Linked DNA regions of Coturnix japonica. The protein of the gene in region 1 interacts with the protein of each later gene in a pairwise test. Links are inferred from orthologs where the notes say so. Each region holds a gene or a part of one and is shown in the gene's direction. Other genes may lie near its edges.

Evidence for each region.
Region 2: the proteins of JADE1 (region 1) and YJU2 interact in a two-hybrid assay, tested with the Homo sapiens proteins (2 studies listed by BioGRID and IntAct). The two-hybrid records come from large-scale screens. The link is inferred for Coturnix japonica from reciprocal best matches to the Homo sapiens genes JADE1 and YJU2.

Annotation. Positions count from the first base shown.
Region 1 is NC_029519.1:30,507,663-30,511,473, forward strand, and holds part of JADE1 (protein Jade-1), read left to right. Parts: intron 1-1,505; coding exon 1,506-1,663; intron 1,664-3,811.
Region 2 is NC_029543.1:756,114-760,024, reverse strand, and holds the start of YJU2 (splicing factor YJU2), read left to right. Parts: upstream 1-1,087; 5' UTR 1,088-1,175; coding exon 1,176-1,199; intron 1,200-1,372; coding exon 1,373-1,473; intron 1,474-1,968; coding exon 1,969-2,113; intron 2,114-2,321; coding exon 2,322-2,456; intron 2,457-2,609; coding exon 2,610-2,791; intron 2,792-3,024; coding exon 3,025-3,145; intron 3,146-3,854; coding exon 3,855-3,911.

The DNA of each region.
Region 1 (3,811 bases):
AGAGCAGAAGCATACTGAGAGAGAAGTGAGGAGTATGTGAGTATTGGGAAGGGGAAGAGGTGACTGGATAGGCTGCATTGTAAGGCAGATAATAGTTTTAAATAGTCTTGAAAGTATGATTAGCCATCAGGTTTGTTGTTCCCCTGAAATACTTCCCCAAAAGCATAGATAATGTGTTGAGATTTCAGGTGTGTGACTAGTGTGTGACTAGTGTATGACAGAAGTTGCTGTCCTTGGGAGGCCTGCCTAATTAGACACTTCCTCAGCCATATGCAGCTGCTGGCTGGAATTAATGTAAAACCACCATTGTTTTGGGACTGGTTGGAGGCCCAGGAGGTTGTAACTTTGCTCTGTTAGGATCCCCATAAGAGTCCAGGAGTGCTTTTTTTTTTAATAACTGTGCAGTGTGGGGCTGGGTAGATGCCTACTGCCTTCTTGTCTCAGTGGTGCTCACCTTTGTTGTAGCTTCGTTGTTTTTTAATCCTTTCCTTTGAACACAACATTTTATAGTAACAATGTATAGCGCTGTGGTTGACAGCAGCCTTGCCTTGCAGGGAGAGCAGGGTGGGGAGAGCTGGACGATGGACAGACAGGTACAGACTTGTAGCTCTGACACCATTGATACCATTCTTTGCTCTCTGAAGTGCTGACAGGCCATGGCAAACGAGTTGTGGCTGAAGCACCACAGCAGTGGCACACCATGACTGCTACAGGAGCGGATCTCTTTGATTTCACTCTGTGGCTTATGGAAGATGGCATCACTGCTTGCAGATGACTGCTAACCCAGTTGTTGGCAAAGATACTGCTGGCTTTAGAGGTCGATGCTTTTGCAAAAGCAAAGTAAAATGACAGCTTTGGTGTCTGTAGCTGACAGAGTAGCAGGCACATCTGCTGAACATCAAGCTACCACCAGAACTCACATCTGGGATTGTTCTGTTTATCTTTTGGGTTATTGTTTTAAATACTGGCAAGAGTATGTGGGAAGAGTCATTTAAATAATAGCAGGAGTCATCTTGGTAGTATTTCCTCTTGTATTTGGTCATGGTGGAGTCATGCCTTGATTTCCATCACAGGGAATTTATAGAATGCCTTTGGGTTAGTCAGAGCTCCAATAGATGGCTTGTTTGTTTGTTTGTTTTTAAGAAGTAGTTTGAGCAAATTGAGTCTTCCTTATGTTGCTGATCTAGGACTAAAAGCTGGTGTGGTGTTTATTGTAGCCAAGAGGGAGGTCAAGTTGGGTAGCATCATGTGTCCAGTGTGGGGGGAACACTAGGACTCACAGAGGAGGCAACTCAAGTCATCACGTCAGCATTTGCACCTTTTGCCAGCCCTTTTTCTGCAATGAAGCTAAACTTCTGTCCTGCAGTGGGATGGGTTAGTTGACTGTTGATACAGTGACCTTATTATGTGCTGCGCTCCATGGTTACCCTGGAGCTGTGAATCATAGAGTGTAAATATCAAATGTCAGTGTCTCTATTTTTCTCTCTTGGTCACTCTCTTTGCAGGTGTTCAGAACGGACCTGATCACTGCCATGAAGTTACATGACTCCTTCCAGCTGAACCCTGATGAATACTATGTGCTGGCAGACCCCTGGAGGCAGGAGTGGGAAAAGGGAGTGCAGGTGCCAGTTAGCCCAGGGACCATCCCAGAACCAGTAGCCAGGTATAGTTTGGAGGAATGTAAACAAATACATACTTATGCTAGCAGCTTATGTCTGTGTTGCTTTGGTTTCTTGAGCTTTATTCCACGTTATCTAGCTAGGAAAAGCAATGTGTCTCAGCTTTTTTGAATGGTCATAGCAGTCAAGAATTGGGTCTTTCTGCCAATGTGTTGAAATATTAATGCCAGAGAATCATTTTTGGCCTGACATTAGGATGAAGGGTGATGACAAAGCCTTAAAAATACTTTCCAGTTTTAAACCCAGGCTTGATCTCACTCATCATTGCTGGGAATTTCTTGTATGATGTGTCCTGTGCTTACTTCCAAGCCATAGGTTTCAGGGTGCAATTAGGCAAGCCAGAGTTAAGGGCTAGAGAAAATACAGATTTTTTCCTTGTTGTTTTATATTATTTTTTGTCATTTTGTTTACTAACTTAGAACGTTGTTGTTCATTTTAGCTGTTGAAAGAACCGTCCAGATGTGCATGTAACAATATGTTAATGTGAGATTTTCCTGCTCTTGTCCAAGAAACCCTTATTTTCCTTCCCTTGTTTGTTACACTGGGATGTTGTTTTCTTTTTCAAATGAAACAGTCCACTTGTAGGGGCACGAGCATTTTGTAGCCCATCTCTCTTTTTTACGCTTAGTTAGGACTGGAGTTAGAAGAAGTGAGGAAAGGATTATTGCCATTTATGCAGGCTAGATCTCTGAGTAAGTTCAGTCTGGTGTGTAAAGCGTTACTAAATGACACACCAGTGCCAACAGGGCCAGCACAGTCTCTGACACACAGCAAAAAAATCTTATGGAATACAACTTCTATTAGGGCTTTAACTGGCAGCTTTAGCATTGGAGTAGTGGAACTACAGGAAGATTTGTTAGTGCTTTCTGCATTCTCTGCATAAACCTGTATGTAGACTGCTGCACAGCCTCACCAGGTCTGTATGGTGAGGAAAACCTGCCTGCATAACAGATGAGCCCTTTCCTTCTTTCACTTTCTGAAGGATCAGGCCTGGGGCTCTGAGGAGAGCTTAGCACTGAGAGGAGAACTCAGAATTTCCCCGTCTGTTATGTACTTCCAGGGCACAGGAGCATCCAGTTTCCCCCCTTCACACACTTGCACCTTGCTTCACATTGACATCACACACTACCTGCATAAATGTCCACACGTTGTACCAGCCTGCTCGCATTCTCACTGTATTCTCTTTAAAGCATTTTCTAAGTCTGCTGGAGGGCCAGGAGACCAGTGAGCTTTATTAAAAAAGAGGTCTTCCCAGGTGTTCAACCAACCTTTATCTGCCTTACATTTGAGGAGGTAAATGCGTGGTTCTGTCAGGTCCAGGTGCTCACTGAAGAGGGAGCCATTCACTCTGAAGAGCCAGTGGGGAATGTGCTCTGGAATGGGGAGAGGAAAAGAGGGTTTCCAGAAGTTTGATGCCAGCACTGTTTTTTGGTGCTGAGCTGTCCTGAATGGTTGTGTTGGTGAATACCTGCTGCACAGCAGCTTTCTGATGCCAGAAAATTATCCTTTTTGTCCTCTTACAGCATACTTAGGAAGCCCTGCCAGAGTAATGCTGGAGTCCTGGAACTGTTCTGTGGGTAACTGTGGGAGGGAGGGTTAAGGTTACTATACATTAGATCAGCAATAGTCAGATAGTAGCTGGTGTAGAACAGGAAGGAAAATGTGGTACAGAGAGCTTGATCAGGGTTGTGAGAGAGAGTCCAGCAGGGTTATGAGAGAAGTGAGACCATGTGGGGCCTCGGTGAAAGCATGTGCTCAGACAGAAGATTTATTTCAGTGTCCTTTTTGCTATGTCACAACTTTTATAGTTCATTCTGCCACAAAAATAAAGAGATGAAGGTGGTCTGTTTTAAGACCAAATTACCTTTGCTTATTTCTTTTGTGCCACTACAGTATCATCTAGTCAGTGTGTGCAGCATGCTGCCCAGAGGTTATACTTGCAATGTAGAGAGGTACTCAGGGAGGAATTATGGTACAGAAGATTCAATGAGCAGTGCCTAGTTTAAAATGAATTCTCCTTGGGATGCGGTAGCCTGTAATATTTTAATACTGCAGAGTATAACCTGTGATAGCCCTGGAAATGATGCCGTTAGCGAGGCAATATCATTCAGGTTCTTATTCCGCCACAAATC
Region 2 (3,911 bases), on another chromosome or scaffold:
TGGGGTGCAGTGGGGCCTGTGGGGATAAACTGGGCTCTCCCACCCTGCTGATGAAGCACAGGGTTGGCCCAGGAGCCTCGGAGGTGCTGGAGCCGGCAGGTTCCCATCCTGGGCTCTGCTGGGGAGGGACAGCAGGCTCTCAGGGGTTAGATGACATCACTGCCTTTGAGACAAAGGCACTGAGTCACTCCATCCCCAGGCTGGATTTGGTTCTCAGGCACAGCCGGGGGAGTTTCCAACCTTCAGAGCAAGGGAGGCAGCGAGGGGTGGGATGGGATGGGATGGATGGGATGGGGTGGGATGGGGTGGGATGGGATGCGGATGGGATGGATGGAATGGGATGGGATGGGATGGGATTGGGATGGGATGGGATGGGGATGGGGTGGGATGGGATGGGATGGGTGGGATGGAGTGGGGTGGGATGAGATGAGATGGGATGGGATGGATTTGGGGATGGGATGGGATGGGGTGGGATGGGGTGGGATGGGATGGGATGGAATGGGATGGGATGGGATGGGATGGGATGGGATGGGGTAAACTGAGGCACACAAGCATGGGCAGTACCGGAGGGGCTCCATCTCTGGTCACACACAGCCCATAAATGAACCATCCCGGGACTCTGCCCCCGCCCCACACTTGTGATGTTCTCTGTAAAGCCATACATGCTGTGGGGCGCTGAGCTGGGCCGGCACAGTGTGGGGGCAGCTGGAGGGCAGGGGGGCTTTAATCGGCCCTATAGATCACACGGTCCCTAAGGAGGGCGCTGTGCCCCCCAGCACCTACACTGGGCCCTACATCCCAGACCCCCACGCTGCTGACAGCCTCTGTGCCCCCCCCATGTTCTGACCTGGGCCCCAGGTCCCGGTTCGGTTCCCATTTGGCCCAACCCCCCCATGTCCCGTTTCACCCCCCGCTCCGTCCCGTCCCCTCTCCACCCCGGAACCTTTCTTCAGGCCGCGGCGCAGGGCGGATTCTTAAGCTGTGGCACACTAACATCCGGGAAGTGGGCTGAGCTCTTTGATTGGCGTCAGAATCAACCAATAAAACGAGAGATCATTTCAGGCCGCGTCTCTCTCCACCAATGAGAGGCGGAGGGGGCGGGATTCCTATCCCGGAAGCGGAGGGCGGCGGCGGACAGCTCCGTGTACGCTGTGAGCTGAGAGCGGTGCGCAGCCATGTCGGAACGGAAAGTCTTAAACGTGAGTTGGGGGCTGTGTGGGTGCCCTGGGGGGTCTATGGGGGCCCCACATCGTCCTCAGGGCTCCCGGTGGGCACGGGGCGCTCTGGGGGCTGGGACAGGCCTCGGGGCCCGGCCAGGAGCTGATCGGTGACCGTGTGTCCGTTTGTGCGCCGCTCTATTGTGTCCGTGTAGAAATATTACCCGCCGGATTTCGATCCGGCCAAGATCCCGAAGCTGAAGCTCCCGAAGGATCGACAGTACGTGGTGCGACTCATGGCCCCGTTCAACATGCGGTGAGAGGGGTGGGGGGGTGTTATAGACCCTACATAGAGCTGAGGGATACAGCCAGCAAATGGAAGGGGAGGGGAAGGGAAGGGAGGAGAGGGAAGGGGAGGGGAGGGGAGGGGAGGGAGGAAGAAGAGGGAGGGGAAGGGAAAGGGGAAGGGGAAAGGAAAGGAAAGGAAAGGAAAGGAAAGGAAAGGAAAGGGGAAAGGGAATGGGAGGAAAGGGGAAGGGAAGGGAAAGAAAGGAAAGGAAAGGAAAGGAAAGGAAAGGAAAGGAAAGGAAAGGAAAGGAGAGAAGGAAAGGAAAGGAAAGGAAAGGAAGGGAAAGGGAAAGGAAAGGAAGGGAAAGGGAAAGGAAAGGAGGAAGAGAAGGGAAGGAAGGAGGGAGAGGGAATGGACTGTATGGGTGATAGAGGGGCTGGAGGTTCCACGTATCCAAAGGGGTGAATGTGCTCATGGTCTGTGCTGTCTCTTTTATCTCTTAATGTTGGGCTCCTCCTTTAGCTGCAAGACGTGCGGTGAATACATCTACAAGTGGAAGAAGTTCAATGCCCAGAAGGAGACTATTCAGAATGAGGTGTATCTGGGGCTGCCCATATTCCGCTTCTACGTCAAGTGCACATGGTGTCTGGCAGAGACCACTTTCAAGGTGAAATATTGGCACTGATTTCTCCTCTTCTGCTTCATGGGGAGGTGATGTGGGTCTGAGCTCAGTCTGATGGGGAACACGGCTGTCCCAGCACAGGCTGAGCCCTGAGTCCATCTGGAGCAGAGCAGGAGGCTGCAGGTGTTTGTCTGCCCCACATTGTGACTGGGGTGGAATTGCTCCAAGATTTGCTGCCTTACTTTTCCCTTAGACAGACCCTGAGAACACGGATTACACCATGGAACATGGAGCCACTCGGAATTTCCAAGCTGAGAAGCTCTTGGAGGAAGAGGAGAAGAGGATGCAGAAGGAGAGGGAAGAGGAGGAGCTGAACAACCCCATGAAGGTACTGGAAAATGCTGTTTGCAGAAGGCAAAGCTCTCTCCTCCCCTGTTTGGCTGTACCTGCTCAGCAGGTCGCCTCGTCGCTTCTCCACACTCATGAGGCTGTGCTGGACCTTATTGCCTTGTGTAGACCCAGCTTCCTTCTGGTTCCTTAGGTCCTGGAGAACCGAACCAAGGACTCCAAACTGGAGATGGAAGTTCTGGAGAACCTACAGGAGCTGAAGGAGCTCAACCAGCGCCAGGCAAACGTTGACTTCGAGGCCATGCTGCAGCAGTACAAGGAATACGAGGAGGAGCAGAAACGCAGGGAGCAGGAGGAGGATGAGCAGGAGATGAAGTGAGCGGGCTGGAAGCATTGCCATGGGTGTGAAACCAGCCCTATGGGGAAGGGCTCCATCTTACCATCTGCTCAGCACCCCAATGACTGTGCAGTGAGGGCAGGGCCTGAGGGCTGTGTGTGTGTGGGACATAGACTGGGTCCTGGTGCTGAATTCCAGCAGTGGGGAGCAGCATCCAGCAGGGAGCACAGGGACCATCCCTCACCCCCAGCTCTGCCCTCTGTCCCTGCAGAGCCATGTTGGAGCAGGCCCAGAACCGCCGGCTGCTGTCGGACTCCGACTCAGATGAAGAGCCTGCAAAGCCAGGAACCAAACGTGCGGTGAAATCAAGGCCTACAGATGTCCTGCAGGAGGTGAGCAGGGGGCTGAGGCTCATCCACCCGCTGCTCCTCCTCTGCCGCCCTGGGCTCTGCACTGTTCCTTCTGTCCCTGCTGCCCGTCACGCATGAGCAGCTCAGAAAACGCATCCTGTGCACTGGGCCGAGAGGAGACAGGGATCAATGGGTGATTTCAGTCTGTGGCTGCTGACAAAGGAGGCGGCATCAGCTGCGATGGAGCTTAGGACGAGGCATCCCTTCCCCTTCAGCCTTCCCCAGGTCTCAGTCCCCGCTCAGGTACAATCTGAGCCCTCCAAAGGTGACTGGGAGTGAATCAGCCGCATGGGGCAGCCTCTCCTTTGCTTCCCTTCGGTCCGTGTTAGAGACAGGCAGGACAAAAGAGAGCTTTCAGTGCCTGCCTTGCAAGGGAGGGATTATCCCCACCAACAGGGCCCCCTGCGCTGCTGCTCTGTGATGTCGATCCGTGCCCGCGGGGACCCCTGTCCATTCGGACGAATCAAAGCAGCCATGTTTATAAGCCAGGCTGGGGTTAATCCCAGCTGTGTTCCTCTGCCCTGTGCTGCACTATGGGCACAGGGGAGCTCAGTTTGGCCATAGGACCTGCACAGCCCTGCGGCTCTTCAGCTCCCTTCTTGTGTGCCCGTGTTGTTTTGCAGTGTCCCTTCTCCCTGTGCCCCCCCATCACAACCCCACACCCCCCTAATGCTCCCGCTCTGCCCCACAGGACCCTCAGCCCCAGAGCAAGAAGCTGAAGACTGAAAGCTGGGAGCGGAGCGTGGGC